Rattus norvegicus: one gene and its partners. The protein of the gene in region 1 interacts with the protein of each later gene in a pairwise test. Links are inferred from orthologs where the notes say so. Each region holds a gene or a part of one and is shown on either strand. Other genes may lie near its edges.

Region 1 (5,760 bases):
AAGCAATTGTTTTAATCATGTTGCTTCCCTCTGTGATTTGGCCTTGAAGCCTTAACTTCTCCTATTGACAAGAAGAAACCAAAACAAATAAATCCTTATCTTTGGTTTTAAAATTAGATTTTTATCTACACAATAATGTATGTTTTGTTTGTGCATAAACATGCATGCATGTGTGCATGTGTTTATACCTCACACGCATGCCTGCACATGTCAGAAAAGGGCATCAGACGTCCCAAACTGAAGTTATAGGTAGCTGTGAGCCACCATATGGGTGCTGGGAACTCAATGTGTTTTCTTTGCAAAAACAGCAAATGCTCTTAACTGCTGAGCTATCTCCAGCCTCTATTACCCTTATTCTTAACAATTTCTACCAGGCCAGCAACTAAGGTATAAAAAGACTTAGCTAGATTTGGCCTCTGTCCATAGATGGCTACTAATGTGTTACTTGAGCATAAAAATAAATAAATAAATAAATAAATAAATAAATAAATAAATAAATAAGGCACGTTCATAGAAAATGGGCCAGCTATACTGCCCAGCTATCTTTAAAAGAAAAAACGTTTTTGTGTTTTAACCGAACCTCAAATGAGGATATAATGGGGATGACCTTGAACTCCTGAATTGGCTCCCTTCATTTCCAGATAATGTGGCCACAGGTTCGTGCCACCACAGCAGATTTATGTGGTGTTGGAGATGGAACCCAGGGTATCCTGGATCCCAGATAAGTACACTACCAAAAAAGCTATAGTCCCAGCCCACTTCTGTTTGTTTTTATTTTTAATGTTTGGTTATTGTGTGTGTATGTAAAGACAAGTAGAGATCAGAGCAGCTTGTGGGGAGTCAGTTCTCTCCTCCTACAGATCTCGAGGCTATTCAGGTTTGACCTCTGCGGCTATCCTCCTGGTCCTCCTCCCTGACTAGGGCTTGGATTCCAGGTGCACAACAGGCAATTACTGTTTGCAGTAACCAGCTGGAGAAGTAGGACCTGGCTGGCCTGAGGCAATGATCTTCATGATGGAAAGGAAGAGCAGGAGGTGGCGACCAATCCCAGACCAGAGCAGCCACCAAACCTGCCTCTTGCAACTCATAATAAAAGGAAGGAGGGGGAGGAGAGAAGGATGATGAAAGGGGTGATGGGGAAGGGGGCAATGAACGGGATATAAAGTGAGTAAAAATAAATGTTTTTAAAAAGAAGGGAAGGAAATGAAATTAACACTACAAACTCAATTTCCCTGAGCACATTTAATTTGTTTTATCATAAGTAAAATCAGTTTCTACAACGTTTTCTAGGCCAGCCACAGGTACTGTATCAAATGCAAACAAAAGGAGCACTTCTGCCTAGATATCTCACGTACCAATGAGCCCAGAAGTCTCAAACTTGCTTGGGCAACAAGATAAGATCTCCTTATCAAAAAAATCAACAAATTCAACAACATATCTGGCCTTCCCCATTTTTCTTTGCTGTTATTTACATGCTTTTAGGGTAAATGGATGAAATGGAAAGAAACCCTATAAAGAGGACGGTGCTATACACCGAAGTCCTAGGTTCCCAGACTGTACATTTCACCTAGTAGATATAAAAGGCACCTACAAAATAAGTTTTAAGCACCCCGGCCCCAACCTCAAGCAAACTGGATCTTCCAGTTAAGGGAGACACAGGAGGGAAGGGTGAGCAGGGGGTGCGTTCTCTACGTAAAGAGAAGACGAGTGGGCTGGAGAGATGGCTCAGTGGTTAAGAGCACCCGACTGCTCTTCCCGAGGTCCTGAGTTCAATTCCCAGCAACCACATGGTGGCTCACAACCATCTGTAATGGGATCTGATGCTCTCTTCTGGTGTGTCTGAAGACAGCTACAGTGTACTTATATATAATAAATGAATAAATAAATCTTAAAAAAAAAAAAAGAGAAGACAACCTCTAAAGACAGCCGAGATATCTCATCATACTTGTTTTCACCTTTCTTGGCAGTTCGAAGGGCTTTTCACATGGTCCTCCACTCACTGTGGGGATTTTGGTACTCACCAAATCCTCAGAAGCCCGGGCTTGTGCTCTTCGGAAAAGATCTAAGTCATATTCACTCGTCAGGTTTTCCAAGAGAGGCTCCCGAGTGTTCCCATAGGTCTGTCTGTGTTCCTAGAAAAAAGTAACCAGGGGTGATCCCATCTGTTGTGGAACTTGGTTTATTTCACTCCAATGGAAGCCAAGCTGGACCAGGTGCTTGCTATTTACAAAGTACCCATCATGGCAGTGGTGCAGGGGACTGAGGTCAGGCAATGGTAACAGTGGTGAGGTCAGAGACTGCTCTTGCTCGCCTCATCAATCTGAGCAACATAAAGGCCAGCAGCCCCAAGGTGGCACGATAGTTCCTAGAATCCGAGAGCCGGCCAGCTCGAGTGAAGCAAACATGGCTCTGGCAGCCTTGCCTTCTCCCCCATTCCCTCTGCCCTGCTAAAAACCACCAGATTGCACTCCTAAAGCTGCCACCAAGATATCTCTGTGAAAACAGGGGTTTGTGCCTAATCTGGGTTGCTCTGTGTGGGGTGTAAGGGTTTCCTTCACTGATGACACTCTGACAGAGAAGCAGGTACTCCAGGCATTAGTATTTGAAGAGAGCACTCAAGCTAAGGGAGGGCAAGCAGCTGGACCAGTGGGCCCATGGAAACTGCTTCTGACATTACTTCACTGACTGCTCAACTTGTAAGGTCAAGTCAAGTGCGCAGCTCCTGGAATGTTTACTAACTGCTAAACATTAAAGAAAAATTAAATATAATTAAGAACAGAAAAGGAATCCAGTTTTAAATTAACTTTCAAATCTTACCAAGCTGGTAAGTCTCCTTTCCCTGGAAGGAAGGCAGGAGGAGGAAGAGGAGGAGGAAGACTTCTCCTTAAAACTGATTCTAGCCTCTCTCTTTCTGCCTCAGAAGACAAGACAATGGGAGTTCTGAGAAGTAGGAGGAAGAACATTCTATATGCTAACACACATTAGCATCTAAAGAAAGCACTCAATCTACGAACATTTCCTTATGGCTAATATGGCTCAGTATGTTGTAACTTCTTTCTTTAATTTGTCTCTGTGACTTAAGATTTAGGTTCGAAGTATTACTGACTTCTTCTAACAATCCACCTTCCCCTTTCTCTTACACTGAGAAAGGATTTCATGTAGCTCTGCCTCCACTTCCCAATGCTGGGATTACAGGCAAGCCTGAGACCACAGCGCTGGAGAATCAAACTCAACATGTCTTGTACTCAGGCAAAGACTAAACCAACGAAGTCATTTCTCCAGATCAAAACAAAACCCAACCAGCCCGGGCTGGGGCCACACCCCTGCAACCCACACTTAGGAGGTGTAGAATCGGCTAAGGACAGTCCCAGCCATACATTAGTACATTCAAGGCCAGCCTCCGCCATATGAGACCCTATTTCAAAAATGTAAGCAACAAGAAAAATTTCTATCTAGCGCTTTTTAAATTAGGAAAAGACCCAAATAACGTGTCTCGAGCTGGTGAAAAGCATATCTGAAAGGTGAAACAGCTCGATAGCATTTACATCAGACACTTTCTACCTATAAAAATTTGAAGATTTGGGGTTGGGGATTTAGCTCAGTGGTAGAGCGCTTGCCTAGCAAGCGCAAGGCCCTGGGTTCGGTCCCCAGCTCCGGGGGGGGGGGGGGGGGAATCTACAATTTATAAATCAGCTACAACTTATAAATCATACACTTATTGCCTATTCTAATGACAAAGTGGAATAGCGTTCCAATTCTATGAAGAAAATACTCAAAAAAAATCACATATCAACACAATACACTACACAAACACACACACACACATATGTGTATTAAAAATGTACTTTTTTGTTCATGACAGGGTCTCATTCTATAGTTCAGAAGGCTCAGGTGTCTTACTTTGTGGCTCAAGCTGGCCCTAAACTCATAGCCTCCCTGAATGTGTGAGTCACTACTTCTGACTACTTTTTGTTTTGTTTTGAAACAGGGTCTTGCAATGCTGCCCAGGGTGACCTCTAGGCATAGACCACCATGTCTGGCTATATTTCAGTAGAAAATGTACTAATACATGTCTAGTAAAAGTAAATCTTTAACTGAAAAGCTGTATTTTTTTTTTCCAGAGCTGAGGACCGAACCCAGGGCCTTGCACTTGCTAAATCCCCAACCCTGAAAAGCTAGCTCTATTTTATGCAGAAAAGGCTGAAAGATTTTAATATGAGGACATTAGTTCAAGCTTTTTAAAGGAAAAGACAAGACAACCGGGTGGTGTGGGAGAACACAGAAAATGGCAAATGAAGAGGATTCTTTTTCTAAAAAACAGTTTATGTGCAGGACTGGAGAGATGCCTCAGCAGTTAAGAGCACTGACTGCTCTTTTGGAGGTCATCACTTCACTTCCCAGCAACCACATGGTGGCCCACAACCATCTGTGATGGGATCCGATGCCCTCTTCTGGTGTGTCTATACTCATATAAATAAATCTTAACAATAAATTTATATGTATTGGTGTTTTGTCTGTATGTGAATCTGTGTGTGTTTGATCGCCTGGAATTGGAGTTAGGGACAGTTGTGAGCTGCCATGTGGGTGCTGGGAATTAAACCTGGGTCCTCAGGAAGAGCAGTCAGTGCTCTTAACCTCTGAGTCCTCTCTCAGTCCCCAAAAAGGCAAGTTATATAGTTAAAATAAAAAGCTAAAAACTTGATAAAATGCTAATCGTGGCTATTTTCAGGTAGGTTAATCTTATCTTCTGTATGCTATTCGTAACTTTCCCTTATTATTATAAAGTGTACATCATATTCAAAGTTAGTTCTTAGATGCTCATCTATATCCCGATCCCCTGAATGTTTTATCTTATGCAGCCATTTCTAATGTCATTGGTATTTGTTCTAATAGGCATATTTGCCTCCCTGTCCCAGGACTGCAGATTGAACCTAGCCCCTTTGCATACACTACTACTAACAGAAACGACTGGGAGTTTATTTTTCATTTGGGAACAGGGTCCAGCTAAGTTGCTGAGGCTGATTTGGACAACACTTGGTAGCCTGGTAGGCCTAGACCACATCATCTTCTTGCCTCAGTCTTCAGAGTAGCTGAGGTTACAGAGCAGCACCAACAGGACCCCCTTAAATGTAATTTTTTAAAATGATATTGAAGGTGTTCTACCAACTGGGCTGCATCCCTAGGCCCTGAGGATGGAAATCTCAAAAACATCAACTCTACTGCAACTGTATAATCCCTGACTCACTCAACAGCTAGCTCTAACTTGTGGGAGGGTGCTAGGCAGCTGAAGAGAGCCCCAGAATTCACTGGATGTTCTCTGTAGTAAACAGCTATGAGATCCGACAGGCAGAAGCTCAGACTTGACTGACAGTGGGAGTTCAGCTTGGATTTTTCCTCACCATGTATTTCTCTTTCTGCTCTTTGCTCAGTCCAGAATTTCTTTTCTTCCTGAGTTCAGCCACTTTTTCCTTATACCGCAGCTGTCTCTCTGTTGGTGCCTAAAAGAAAAACAAAACTGAGCATCTAGCTAAAAATCTCATTAAGTTTCAAAATACAATTTATTTTAAACTTTTTTTTTAAGACATGTTCTCAAGCCAGCCTTAAACCTGGAACTTCTGATCTTCCACCTCCCAAGTGCTGAGATTACAAATCCAAACTACCATCTCTCTCTTTTTTTTTTTTTGGTTCTTTTTTTTGGAGCCGGGGACCGAACCCAGGGCCACAGACCACTGAGCTAAATCCCCAACCCCTACCATCTCT
Region 2 (5,760 bases), on another chromosome or scaffold:
TTGGTGTTGGCTGTATAAACCATGCTCCTCTCTTCTCCTTACATGTTAGACACTGTAATAGGCAGGGTGGGCAGCCTGTGATGACCCATCTTCCCTGCAGGTGAGCCCATCCGTCCCATTGACCCTGCAGCCTGGGTCTCCCACACTGCAGCCATGACAGGAACCTTCCCTGCCTATGGCATGAGCCCCTCCTTAAGCACCATCACCTCCACCAGCTCCTCCATCACCAGCTCCATCCCCGACACAGAACGTGAGTATTCAAGTCTGTCCCTTGGGCCACCCAGCAGACGGGCCAGGTGGGAGGATTGGTGGAGGGACCCACTGTGCATCGGGGGGAGCCTTCGAGGGGACACCGTAGCTCTTCCCCAGAGGGCACGCAGAGCCTCACTGAACACTGTTTGCTTCTTAACATACCATGAGCACCCACGGAGCCTCAGTTTCCTCTCATACAATGGGGCTACTAGTATATGCTTCCCAGGTTCCTGTGGGGTTCGATGAGAGGTTCTAACTAGAGCCTTGGTACTGCGTGACATGAGGGAGCACCAGTTTACTGTCATCCCATGTGCATGTGCTTAGGCTCCTCTGTCACATGTCCTTGTGAAGACACTAATCATTCATTTTTACAGGAGGGGAGACTGTCCAAGGAGTTGGTGGTGGGCTTGTCATTGTTGAGTGGGAGAGCTGAGATGCCACTCCTGTTTTCCTAACTCCACAGTGCCTCTTTGTCTCACTGCTCTGCCCCTTCCCCCAGGCCTAGATGATTTCCACCTCTCCATCCACAGTGACATGGCGGCCATCGTAAAAGCCATGGCCTCCCCCGAGTCAGGGCTGGAGGTCCGAGACCGCATGTGGCTCAAGATTACCATTCCCAATGCTTTCATCGGTGAGAGCCTTACTGCAAGATGAAGGACAGGTTGTGGAGACAGGGGCAGGGCAGGGTGGGGACCCGGGCTCTTCCTCGCCTACCTTTGGGTTGTTAACCGCCCTGGCATCATAGCTTCTGTGAGCTAGAGGAACCCAAATCAACTGGCAGCCTTGTCCCCAGGCTCAGATGTGGTGGACTGGCTGTATCACAATGTGGAAGGATTCACCGACCGGCGGGAGGCCCGCAAGTACGCTAGCAACCTGCTGAAGGCTGGATTCATCCGCCACACGGTCAACAAGATCACGTTCTCTGAGCAGTGCTACTACATCTTTGGTGACCTCTGTGGCAGTACGTGTCTTCCCACCACCCTCCCCCTTTATGAGACAGGGCCATGCGACATAAATCATGCTGACCTAATAGCTGCTGTGTAGTCAGCTTGACTTGAATTTGCAGGAATCCCCCTGCCTCAGCCTCCTGAGTAATGGGAATATAAGTGAATGCTACCACCCCAGAATCCCCCACCTTCTCGTCTCCTGGATGGAAGTAAGGAGGTGCTCTGTGATAGGATGGCTGACTCCAGGAAGCCTAACTCCAAGCTCTGACTTGGGGTCTGGCTCAAAGCGCAAAGGCCCACAGTACAAGCAGAGCCTGATGGAGCCTCTTCACTGCCCTCCCATCTCCCTGTGGAGCCTGCCACTAAGTGCCTGTTCTATGCTTGACATGGTGCCAGTGGTTTCTGAGCTGTCATCCTACCATCCCACTCAGCCTTCACCTCCTAGTGGGGTGGGGGTGGGTATCTCCATGTTATCAAATGAAGAAATCAATTTATTGGTGTAAAACAGTCTACGCTAGGTCTCACAGTTAGAAACAAAGGAGATAGGCTTTGGTTCCAGCTCTTCTGACTCTAGTTCACACTGTTCTGGGCTTCTCAAGGGACACAGTGCTCCAAAACACATGGTCTCAGCAAGGATATGGACTGGCAAGGGAGTCCTGGTCTTTCTAAGAGCCCTGGGAGTAAACTGTACCGTGGTGTGAAGCTGGAGAAACTGTCAGTAGCAGAGGACTTTACGAGACTTCATCCTGAGCCACTGAGCATAATCTAAGGAGACCCTTCCTTCTCTTTAGCCTACAGAGGCCCTCACACAGGCATTGCTGTTCGTGCCAGCAGCTGAGTCCTAGCCCAGCCGCCGCCCCTGCCCACACAGCTGTTACACCTGTGGTGCTGGCTGACACCCAGGACTGATCAGATGCTTCTGGGACCCGGTGGCTGGCACTGCAGAGCAGCGTCTCTCGGTAGAGGTTGGGGCTCCTGGCCTCGGCAACTCTTACAGAGGTGTGATAGGATTTTTGGACTCAGATAGTTCTTTTTTTTTTTTTTTTTTTTTTTTTGGTTCTTTTTTTTCCGGAGCTGGGGACCGAACCCAGGGCTTTGCGCTTCCTAGGCAAGCGCTCTACCGCTGAGCTAAATCCCCAACCCCAAGGACTCAGATAGTTCTTACTCTACTGTTACTGTGATCACAGTAGGTGTGTTAGCTTCTAAGTTCGAGACGGAAGTAAGCTAGAACTCATCCCATGGAGATGTCTTAAGCATAACATAATGTATGTACACCCATTTAGAATAGTGTGTGACCCACAAGAAGTGCTCCATAAAAGCTGCCTGCCATTCATTATTTAACTGATTATAAGATGCACTTCTATTTTCACATCCCATTCTCTGAAATTGGGTATATTTTCCATTAATAGTTTAGTAGACTCAGAGAAATTGGTTATTTTTGTCATTGTTAGCAGACATCAGCCCAGGGCCCTAGACATCTTGGAATATACAAAGCTTCCAAGACAGCCATAGCAGTTTTGCTCAAAAGATGTTTATTCTTGGGCCTAGCTGGGTCCCTCACCTAGGCCACCCAAGAGTTGGCTCAGGGTGTGCTGACAGAAAAACCTTTTCCTTCTTTGAGGTCATAGTCTGCAGCATGGGGAATGTGGCAGGCTCAATGAGGAACTATGTGCTCACTATGGAGTTTATTGTTGGTTCTCTGGACAGCACCTTATAGGCTAAAGACATCAGCAGGCCTTTGAGTGTGAGCCAATACAGGACACTGCTTTCCTTCATTGCCTGTGGCTGCCAAGTCAGAGGCTTGGCTATCCGGCTCCATAAGCAATTTCAGAGCCTCATACCCTGGCTTCTTCCTGCAGAGCTGGCTGGATCACCTTGGGCTTGGAGGTAGATCTCATGGTGTAGGTGGCCTCTACAGGGCAATTATAGCTTTCTTAGAATTGAGGTGCACGTGAGCAGGTCCTCGGCAGGTAATCAGCCCTAGTAGCCTATTTTACTCCCTGCATGGAAGCTCCAGCTCTTGAGAGGACTGCTTACCTTTAGGAAGTACACAGTTTCAAGGATGGAAGAAACCCATGAAGTAATGCCTAGAGTCAGGGCACAGTGGAGGCATTTGAGTTGTTCTTTCTGGCCCTTCCACCCCATCTCCACTCTCCACAATAGCAAATGTGACCAGGGCAAGAGCCTTCTATAGAGGAGGCCCTAAAAAACCATTGTATTTATTTAGGATTCTGCCTCTCTTTTAATTTCCCCTCCCCTACTGCTGTGTAGTCTGAGTTGGCGGACTTCCCAGTCCTGCAGGAATGTCAGATGCACACGAACACACAGGCCATTCTGGACCTCCTCTTCCTCCTCCTCCTCCTCCTCCTCCTCTTCCTCCTCCTCTTCCTCCTCCTCTTCCTCTTCTTCCTCCTCTTCCTCCTCCTCCTCCTCCTCTTCTTCTTCTTCCTCCTCCTCTCCCCCCTTTTCCTCCTCCTCTCCCTCTTTTTCTTTTGAAACAGACCCTTTACTACATGGGGTCTGGCTTTCCTAGAACTCACTATGTAGCCCAAGGTAGCCTTGAATTCTCAGGCCTACCTCTGCCTCCTGAGTGTTGGGATTAAAGGCATAAGCTACCACACCCAGCTCATTCTGAACTTTTACTTTTTAAGATTTATTTAATTTTTGCGTATGAGTCTTGCCTGCGTGTACCTCTGAGCACCATGTGCATGCAGTGCCCAGAAAGGCCACTGTGCCATGGGACTGGAGTTACAGATGGCTGTGAGCCATTTATGCTGCTAGGAATCAAACCCAGATCTTCTGCAAGAGCAACACGCGCTCTTAGTTCCTAAACTGTCTCTCTACCCTCATTCTGGGCTTTTAATAAGTGTTATTATTATCATTCCTATTATTTAGGAGGAGCAAGAGGAGGGAGGGCAAAGGCTCACTGAGTTTCCCCAAACATCCCCCTCATAATTACCTGAAAGGCAGGAGTGTGAGCACCTCAGCTTCTGCTCTGCCTGCAGCTCTGCTCTCCTCTCTGGACTTTTGTTCCTTGCCTGGAGAAGCGGTTATTACCTCTTTTGGGGGTCGCTGGATACTGTGCTTACGAGTCATGGTACAACCCCTGGTGGCTTCTAGTACTTCAGCCTTCTACATTCCCCAACTCAGTTCCTCTCAACCAAAGAAAAAGTGGCAAAATAAGAAGTGAGAGGTGGGGGTTGGGGATTTAGCTCAGTGGTAGAGCGCTTGACTAGCAAGCCCAAGGCCCTGGGTTCCATCCCCAGCTCTGAAAAAAAAAAAAAAGAAAGAAAGAAAGAAAGAAAGAAAAAAAAAAGTGAGAGGTGGGGTGGGTAGAGTAAATCTTGTTTAGTTTTTGCTGTTTTTGTTTCATTTGGGAGTCTTTTTTGTTGCTGTTGTTTTGTTTTTGAGACTGTGTTAATGGAGCCTAGCCTGGCTTCAGACTTACTATGTAGTCTAGGTTGGACTTGAACCCGTGTCAGGAAACTTTGAAGGTCTTGGAGATTAGATGTGGGGATTGGCTGTACAGCTATTGAGAGAGGCCAGTGGCCAAAGAGATCTGCAGGCCTCCGGTTCTGGCCGTAAACTTTAACACTGTTGCCTGTGGTGCCTTCTGCTGGAGACCTGATTGTAGGTGTGGAACCACAATAGACCAGCTTACCTGAGTCCTCTTCCCACAGACATGGCCAACCTATCGCTGCACGACCATGATGGCTCCAGTGGTGCCTCTGACCAGGACACACTGGCTCCTCTGCCGCACCCAGGGGCTGCCCCTTGGCCTATGGCTTTCCCTTACCAGTACCCACCACCTCCGCACCCGTACAACCCACACCCAGGCTTCCCGGAGCTGGGCTACAGCTACGCTGGGGGCAGCGCCAGCAGTCAGCACAGTGAAGGTAGGTCAGAGAGACCCAGCTGGAAGGATCTGTAGGGAGCCCCGGCCACCTCTGCACCTCCATCCTGGGCCTGTTTTTTTTTTTTTCTACAGGTAGTAGGAGCAGTGGCTCCAACCGAAGTGGCAGCGACCGGCGCAAGGAGAAGGACCCAAAAGCTGGGGACTCAAAGTCAGGTGGTAGCGGCAGCGAGTCAGACCACACTACACGCAGCAGTCTGCGGGGGCCACGGGAGCGGGCACCAAGCGAGCGCTCAGGCCCAGCGGCCAGCGAGCACAGCCACCGCAGTCATCATTCACTGACCAGTAGCCTGCGCAGCCACCACACACACCCAAGCTATGGCCCACCCGGAGTGCCCCCTCTCTATGGTCCCCCGATGCTGATGATGACCCCACCGCCTGCAGCCATGGGGCCCCCAGGAGCCCCTCCAGGGCGTGACCTGGCCTCGGTGCCCCCGGAACTGACGGCCAGCAGACAGTCCTTCCGCATGGCAATGGGAAACCCCAGTGAGTTCTTTGTGGATGTGATGTGATCCGGGCCCCTCTCCAGCTCTCACCCCTCAGCCGGCTGCACCCCCATCTCAGTCGGCCTTTTTTTTTTTTAAACTTTGGTACCTGAAAGGGAAATAAATGGAACTAACTGCTACTGCTTGCTGGTAGCAGCAAGGA
Region 3 (5,760 bases), on another chromosome or scaffold:
TAGGCACCTAGAGCAGGAGTACAGGGGAAGGCTGAGCCTCCTGCGGTCCGAGGTGGAGATGGAGCGGGAGCTGTTCTGGGAGCAAGCCCGCAGGCAGAGAGCCGTGCTGGAGCAGGATGTGGGCCGCCTCCAGGCTGAGGAGACCAGTCTGCGTGAGAAACTGACACTGGCTCTCAAGGTAGGTGGGATGCGTCCCTGCTGTACACTGGGAAGGCGCATATTGGCAGAGCAGGGTGATGTCATGCTCTCACTCAAAGTAGGAGGTCTTGGCTTTGCTCCATTCTCCTCTATCCTAAGTCATATGATCTCAAAATCAGAGTGAATCAGCTACCGCAGCCAGTATGGCTGCATCCCTAGGGTCAAGGAACACCTCTAGACACTGCCTGCCATGACCTGGATTCATAGCCACAACTTTTAGGGTTTGGGTGAGTGTCCCTGCCTTGTACCTACCCTGCTTTTGGCTCCCCAAAGCCATCTTAGCTGTGTGGACAGCCAAGCTCCAGAAGCACTTGCCTGTGTGCCTTCTTTCTGTTCTGCTCCCAGCTTCTTCTTTCCTAATGCCTAAGGGCCTCTGGCCTTTTCCCCACCTCCCTGGCTCCTGCAGCCCCTGCCCAATGTGGTAAGAGTATCTGGACATAACTCACATCACCCACTGATGTGATGGTACTCTCTTGACCCTTCTCAGCACAGCACTTTTCTTCCAACACCCTATGCTGGACCTCTGAGCCATTTTGATACAACTTTAAACCTATCACTTTAAAAGCAGCTTAAGGGGCTGGGGATTTAGCTCAGTGGTAGAGCGCTTACCTAGGAAGCGCAAGGCCCTGGGTTCGGTCCCCAGCTCCGAAAAAAAAGAACCAAAAAAAAAAAAAAAAAAGCAGCTTAAACACGACGCCTTACCAGCCCTTTCTTCCTTCCCCCATGAACGTTCTGAACATGGGAGTGGGAGCAGAGAAAGGGAAGATGGTGGGCAGACAGTCACCTCAGTGGTGTTAGGTTTGTCGTAAGAGATCGGGTTCTAACAGCGCACCCTGCCTGCTTGGTGAGGCAGCAGGCAGCCACACGTTCGCTCTCGGGGCTTTTCCTGAAAAAGCTGCTGTATGGTGGGAACAAGCCTCTGCCATACAAAGAAGTGATGTAGAGACTTGTCAGCATCTTTCTCTGTGTCCTGAACCCAGCCCATACCCACCTGTCTCCTAGGAAAACAGTCGATTGCAGAAGGAGATCATAGAAGTGGTGGAAAAGCTTTCGGATTCCGAGAAGCTGGTTCTCCGCCTGCAGAGTGACCTCCAGTTTGTGCTGAAGGACAAGGCAAGCCTTTTCTACTCACAGCAGTTTCTGTGGTCAGGGCATCATGGCCTGTCTTCCAGGAAACCTGACATGCTGGTATGCACATGTTTCTCTCTTTCAGCTGGAGCCTCAGAGCATGGAACTCCTGGCCCAGGAAGAGCAGTTCACAGCCATCTTGAATGATTATGAGCTTAAGTGCAGGGTGCGTGTCTTCCCCTGAGTCTGCTTACCCATCTCGAGCACCCCTGAGTCCTATTCCTACAGCCTGCCCTACAGCAGTGGCAGGAAGGGGTGGGCCTGCTACACAGAACCAACACCTGGCTCAAGACCCCAGTGGCCACGTGAGGCCTCATCTCTTTCCCATCTTCTCCTTGGTCGTCAAGTGCAGGATGCCCCATAAGTGATTGCAAGAGCTTCTTTTCCAGCAAGAACTTCTTATTTTAGTCTTTGGTCAGCCATACATGGGCATTGCATGACTAGTCAAATCCCAAGACAGAAAGTGTTCCCCGACTGTACTTCCAAATGAATCCTCCTAAAGAAATTTCAGTGTACGAAGATCAGAAAGGAAAATCAGAGTTGAAATGACCCGCTTCTAATAAGAAAAAGACCTTTGAATTACTGAAGATCTGCCACAAATCCTTATTAGTCAGCTCTTGGTTAGGCTTAATTTACCAAAAGTTAATTGGTGTAAAACTTACCAGAGGCACTATTTACAAAGAGCGGCACATATGTGGTTGACTTTAGACACTGTAGAAACCCTTGCCCTTGAAGGTAGATATGCAATAGTGTGCTGTCTCTGCAAATGCAACAGCCGATGCAGGAGAAATGCTTGCACCCAGGAGCTGAAGGTCAACCTAAAAGCAAGTAAATGCCTATAATCCCTGATCTTGGGAGGAGAGGCCTGAGGATTAGGAGCTCAGGGCCATTTATCTCTTGACTATACAGCCAGTTGGAAGGCAACCTGGGCTGCCTGAGACCTCGTCTCCAAAAACCCCCAATCCAAAACCTACAACAAAACAAACACGGCAGTCTGAAAAAATATTGTAAGCTTAGCTTAAAAACAAACAAGCAACAACCAAATCATGAGAGCCCACAGGCCCACCCTCTTGCTCCTTTAGATTGCAGGTATCAAGGGGACTGAAACAGTAGCTGCTGCTTATGTTAATTTAATAGAAAATGTCATAGTCTTGGAATAACACTCGTGATTCTAGGATCACCTACAGAGGCTGCACTGCCAAGTGACCAAGGATAAGTAATATGGGTTCTCAGGTAATGGGCACTTAAAATTTTACATGAAGTCGTAGCTCATTAGTCGACCCCCATACATAGCATGCCTAAGTCCTAGGTCTGGTCTTGAAAGCAAAAATAAAACAAACCCATTCAATAAGGAACCCCACTGACAGAAAATCTCAGGGTGTCAGTAGCATTACTGTTCAGTCAGTTAATTTCTCTGTTTTTACGACAATAATAAAAATGTGACAAACACAATAATTTATAGCTATCTTGACATTTCTAAAGGACAGGGGGAGCAGACAGCTGAATTCAGTTGCATCTGATACTTTACAGCTATGCTGACTGTAAGGCTTTGCTTTAAGTCAACTCATGCTGAAAATCTGTAGCTACTATTGAGAATACCAAGAGAGGCATTGTTATGATACCGAGAGTTATAAAGTAACCTTACATGATATGAAAATTGGTCCTACATTGCAGAAGGCTGTAGAATCAGTCAGAAAACACACTCCGAAATGGAACTGCTACTGTTTGCGTGTGTCCTTGGCGTCTTTCCCTGTGATCTGTCGTAGGCTTCATCCAGGCGGAGTACCCTACACGCTGAGTAGATGAATATCCTTGAAAGACAGTGGCCATGCGTGTTTTTAGGGAGCAACCTCAGAACTGGGGACATGAGCCAGGCAGGGCTGACTGACTGTTCTCGTACTTCTCAGGATTTTCCAGGACTATGCCGGAAGTTTCTTTTCTTGTCCTTTTGATGAGCAAGTGGCTGAGCCTTCTCATCCATACACATTTCACTGAAGTCCAGAGGAGACTCTTGTCACAAATGCAGACTCTTCGTCCTCACCAGAGGGAGATCTGGAGATCTGGGAGAGACATCTCCCAGTCCAGTCTCCTATTGCCCAGCAGACTGTACTCCATCAGGCCTCTGTTTCCCAGATAATACCTTTTCTCTCTGCTAAGGGCATCACTGCTCTGTAGCATTTAATCTAAAGCAAATGGCCTAACAACTATAGAACTCCATGCCAATTCCACAGCGACTGGGGGGAGGAACAAACACAGCCCCAGAGATGTCCCAAGATGTCAGTGCCCATGCGTGCAGCACACCACTACTTGATATAGCAGCACCTGTTGAGAATTTTCCTCATAGCCTCAGCTTTCCTTTTGTGCTTGAACTCCTTTTATATATCCAGTGACATAAGCATGAGTGTCGAGAAATGGTTTCCCTAGCTCCGCCAGGACCTAGGTAGTTAGAGTCTTAGGTGCAGATTTAATGTACATGCCGGAAGTCCAGAACCCACACCTGCCTGATGTCTAGTCTGTAGTGGATGCTTACTACAGAGTGGGGCTGATCTTGGGTTTGGCCTCCCAAGGCTGAGTGGCTGCAGCAGCTGGAGGAGGTTATCTGTCTCTGCCCACACAGGACCTACAGGACCGCAATGATGAGTTGCAAGCAGAGCTAGAGGGCCTGCGGGTGCGGCTGCCCAGGAGTCGACAGAGCCCCTCAGGGACCCCAGGCACCCATAGAAGGTGGACCCCTGGACGTGGCCCAGCAGGTAGGAGCTCAGTCTGGAGGCTAAGTTGAGAGTGGGGCTCCAGGGCATGACCACAAGGCTGGACATGTGGCACCCCAGAGGAAAAGATGAGAGCAGGACGGAAAATGTTTGTAGAAATCACGAAGGTTATAATTCCTTGACTCCAAAGGAGGCAAATTTGCCTGAGGGGCATGTTTCCACGTTGGAGCCTATGAGGTCACAGGCAACTTTGTGACAGTGCTGGACTTGGGAGGTCATATAGCATGGTGGGCATAGGACATTCCCAGTTGAGGGAATCCTGGCCGCTGGGTTCAGTGGAAAACACACTTCAGGCTCTTCTGCTCTCGGACAGTGGGGTCAAGACGAGGGCCCATGTTTAAGTGTTCTTGGTCTTTTTTAGAGGCCAAGGCCGCTGTTGTGGAGGTGGCACAGTTCTTGTGGAGGACGGGGGTACTTAGGTGGTCTCTGCCTTCTTACTGGTTGTACCAGGCAGTCACTCCAGCTCTGCTGTCTTCAGCAGTAGCAGGTGACACTCTTGACCCCATGGAATTCAGCAGCCCTCCCCAGTTACATAGTGGCAGCCTAAGCCCCTCAGTGTGGTTCTCCAACCTCAGAGCACTTGAGCCTCCATGCATCCTACAGCTGTTTATGGTGGAAAGACAAAAACACAAACAAACAAACAAAAAAGATATACTCTTAGGCTCTCCATGAGGAACTTTACCTTTGTGAGGTCTAGATGGCTGCCAGAATCCCCAGGGAGTCTCAGGAAGAAATAGAGAGTGGCCTTGGCATACCCCTATTAGAGGGGGGAGTTAAGGGAGGGGAAGAAGGTGTGGGGTGCAGTCCCTTGTTGTGCAGTTCAGCCCAGAGCCCAGCCTAGCCAGAAGGTAGAGCGTGATGGTTGCTCCTCTGGTGTCAGTAGGAGCCTGAGTTGCACAGAGCATGTGGCCTTGGTCAGGAGTGCAGGGATAGAGCATTGTGGAGCTGTTCACATTTTCCTCTGCACCCATCAGAGCCCTCACAGAGCCAGGATTTCCCAGACTGGCCTTAGGTGACTACACTGTGTATGTCAGTGTGTGCTGTAAAAACAAGTCACATAGAATCACCCAGAAAACACAAGAGGAAGACTGAATAAATGAGCCGGTGCATACATCTGAACATGTTCAAAAGTGTGGAGACTTGGGCACGAAGCTCTACACAGAAGGGAGCCTACGGAACTGTTGTCATTCTCTCTTGTCTCCCCATTTCCTCTGTGTTCTGGCATCATTTGAAGCCAGATTTTAAATGCAGTAAATATACCATCTGGTGAGGATCTTTCAGAGAGTTAAGGGACCTGATGAATCTAGTGGGAACCTCCTGGTTCTCTCTTAGTAACCAGTGATACAGTAAAGACTTGAACCTTGCTGGAGAGTGGTTTAGATCTTTTTTTTTTTTTTTCTTCTCTTTTTTTTGGAGCTGGGGACCAAACCCAGGGCCTTGCGCTTGCTAGGCAAGCGCTCTACCACTGAGCTAAATCCCCAACCCGAGTGGTTTAGATCTTAAGAGCATTTATTGCTCTTGCAGAGGACCTGGTCTCAGTCCTAACAAACACATGGTAGCCCACAAACATCTGTAACTCCAGTTTCAGAACATCTGACATTGATTTCTGACCTCCATGAGCATTGTACATACATGGTACATAGACACACATGCAAAATACACATAC

The links.
Region 2: the proteins of Kat7 (region 1) and Dvl3 interact in a two-hybrid assay, tested with the Homo sapiens proteins (2 studies listed by BioGRID and IntAct). The two-hybrid records come from large-scale screens. The link is inferred for Rattus norvegicus from reciprocal best matches to the Homo sapiens genes KAT7 and DVL3.
Region 3: the proteins of Kat7 (region 1) and Ninl interact in a two-hybrid assay, tested with the Homo sapiens proteins (2 studies listed by BioGRID and IntAct). The two-hybrid records come from large-scale screens. The link is inferred for Rattus norvegicus from reciprocal best matches to the Homo sapiens genes KAT7 and NINL.

What each region holds. Positions count from the first base shown.
Region 1 is NC_086028.1:80,727,370-80,733,129, forward strand, and holds part of Kat7 (histone acetyltransferase KAT7), read right to left. Parts: intron 5,499-5,760; coding exon 5,400-5,498; intron 2,133-5,399; coding exon 2,022-2,132; intron 62-2,021; coding exon 1-61. UniProt on the Homo sapiens protein: Catalytic subunit of histone acetyltransferase HBO1 complexes, which specifically mediate acetylation of histone H3 at 'Lys-14' (H3K14ac), thereby regulating various processes, such as gene transcription, protein ubiquitination, immune regulation, stem cell pluripotent and self-renewal maintenance and embryonic development.
Region 2 is NC_086029.1:93,871,998-93,877,757, reverse strand, and holds part of Dvl3 (segment polarity protein dishevelled homolog DVL-3), read left to right. Parts: intron 1-100; coding exon 101-250; intron 251-751; coding exon 752-883; intron 884-1,045; coding exon 1,046-1,213; intron 1,214-4,879; coding exon 4,880-5,095; coding exon of another isoform or gene 5,096-5,099; intron 5,100-5,187; coding exon 5,188-5,624; 3' UTR 5,625-5,760. UniProt on the Homo sapiens protein: Involved in the signal transduction pathway mediated by multiple Wnt genes.
Region 3 is NC_086021.1:160,225,172-160,230,931, reverse strand, and holds part of Ninl (ninein-like protein), read left to right. Parts: intron 1-3; coding exon 4-178; intron 179-1,200; coding exon 1,201-1,311; intron 1,312-1,411; coding exon 1,412-1,492; intron 1,493-3,943; coding exon 3,944-4,076; intron 4,077-5,760. UniProt on the Homo sapiens protein: Involved in the microtubule organization in interphase cells. Overexpression induces the fragmentation of the Golgi, and causes lysosomes to disperse toward the cell periphery; it also interferes with mitotic spindle assembly.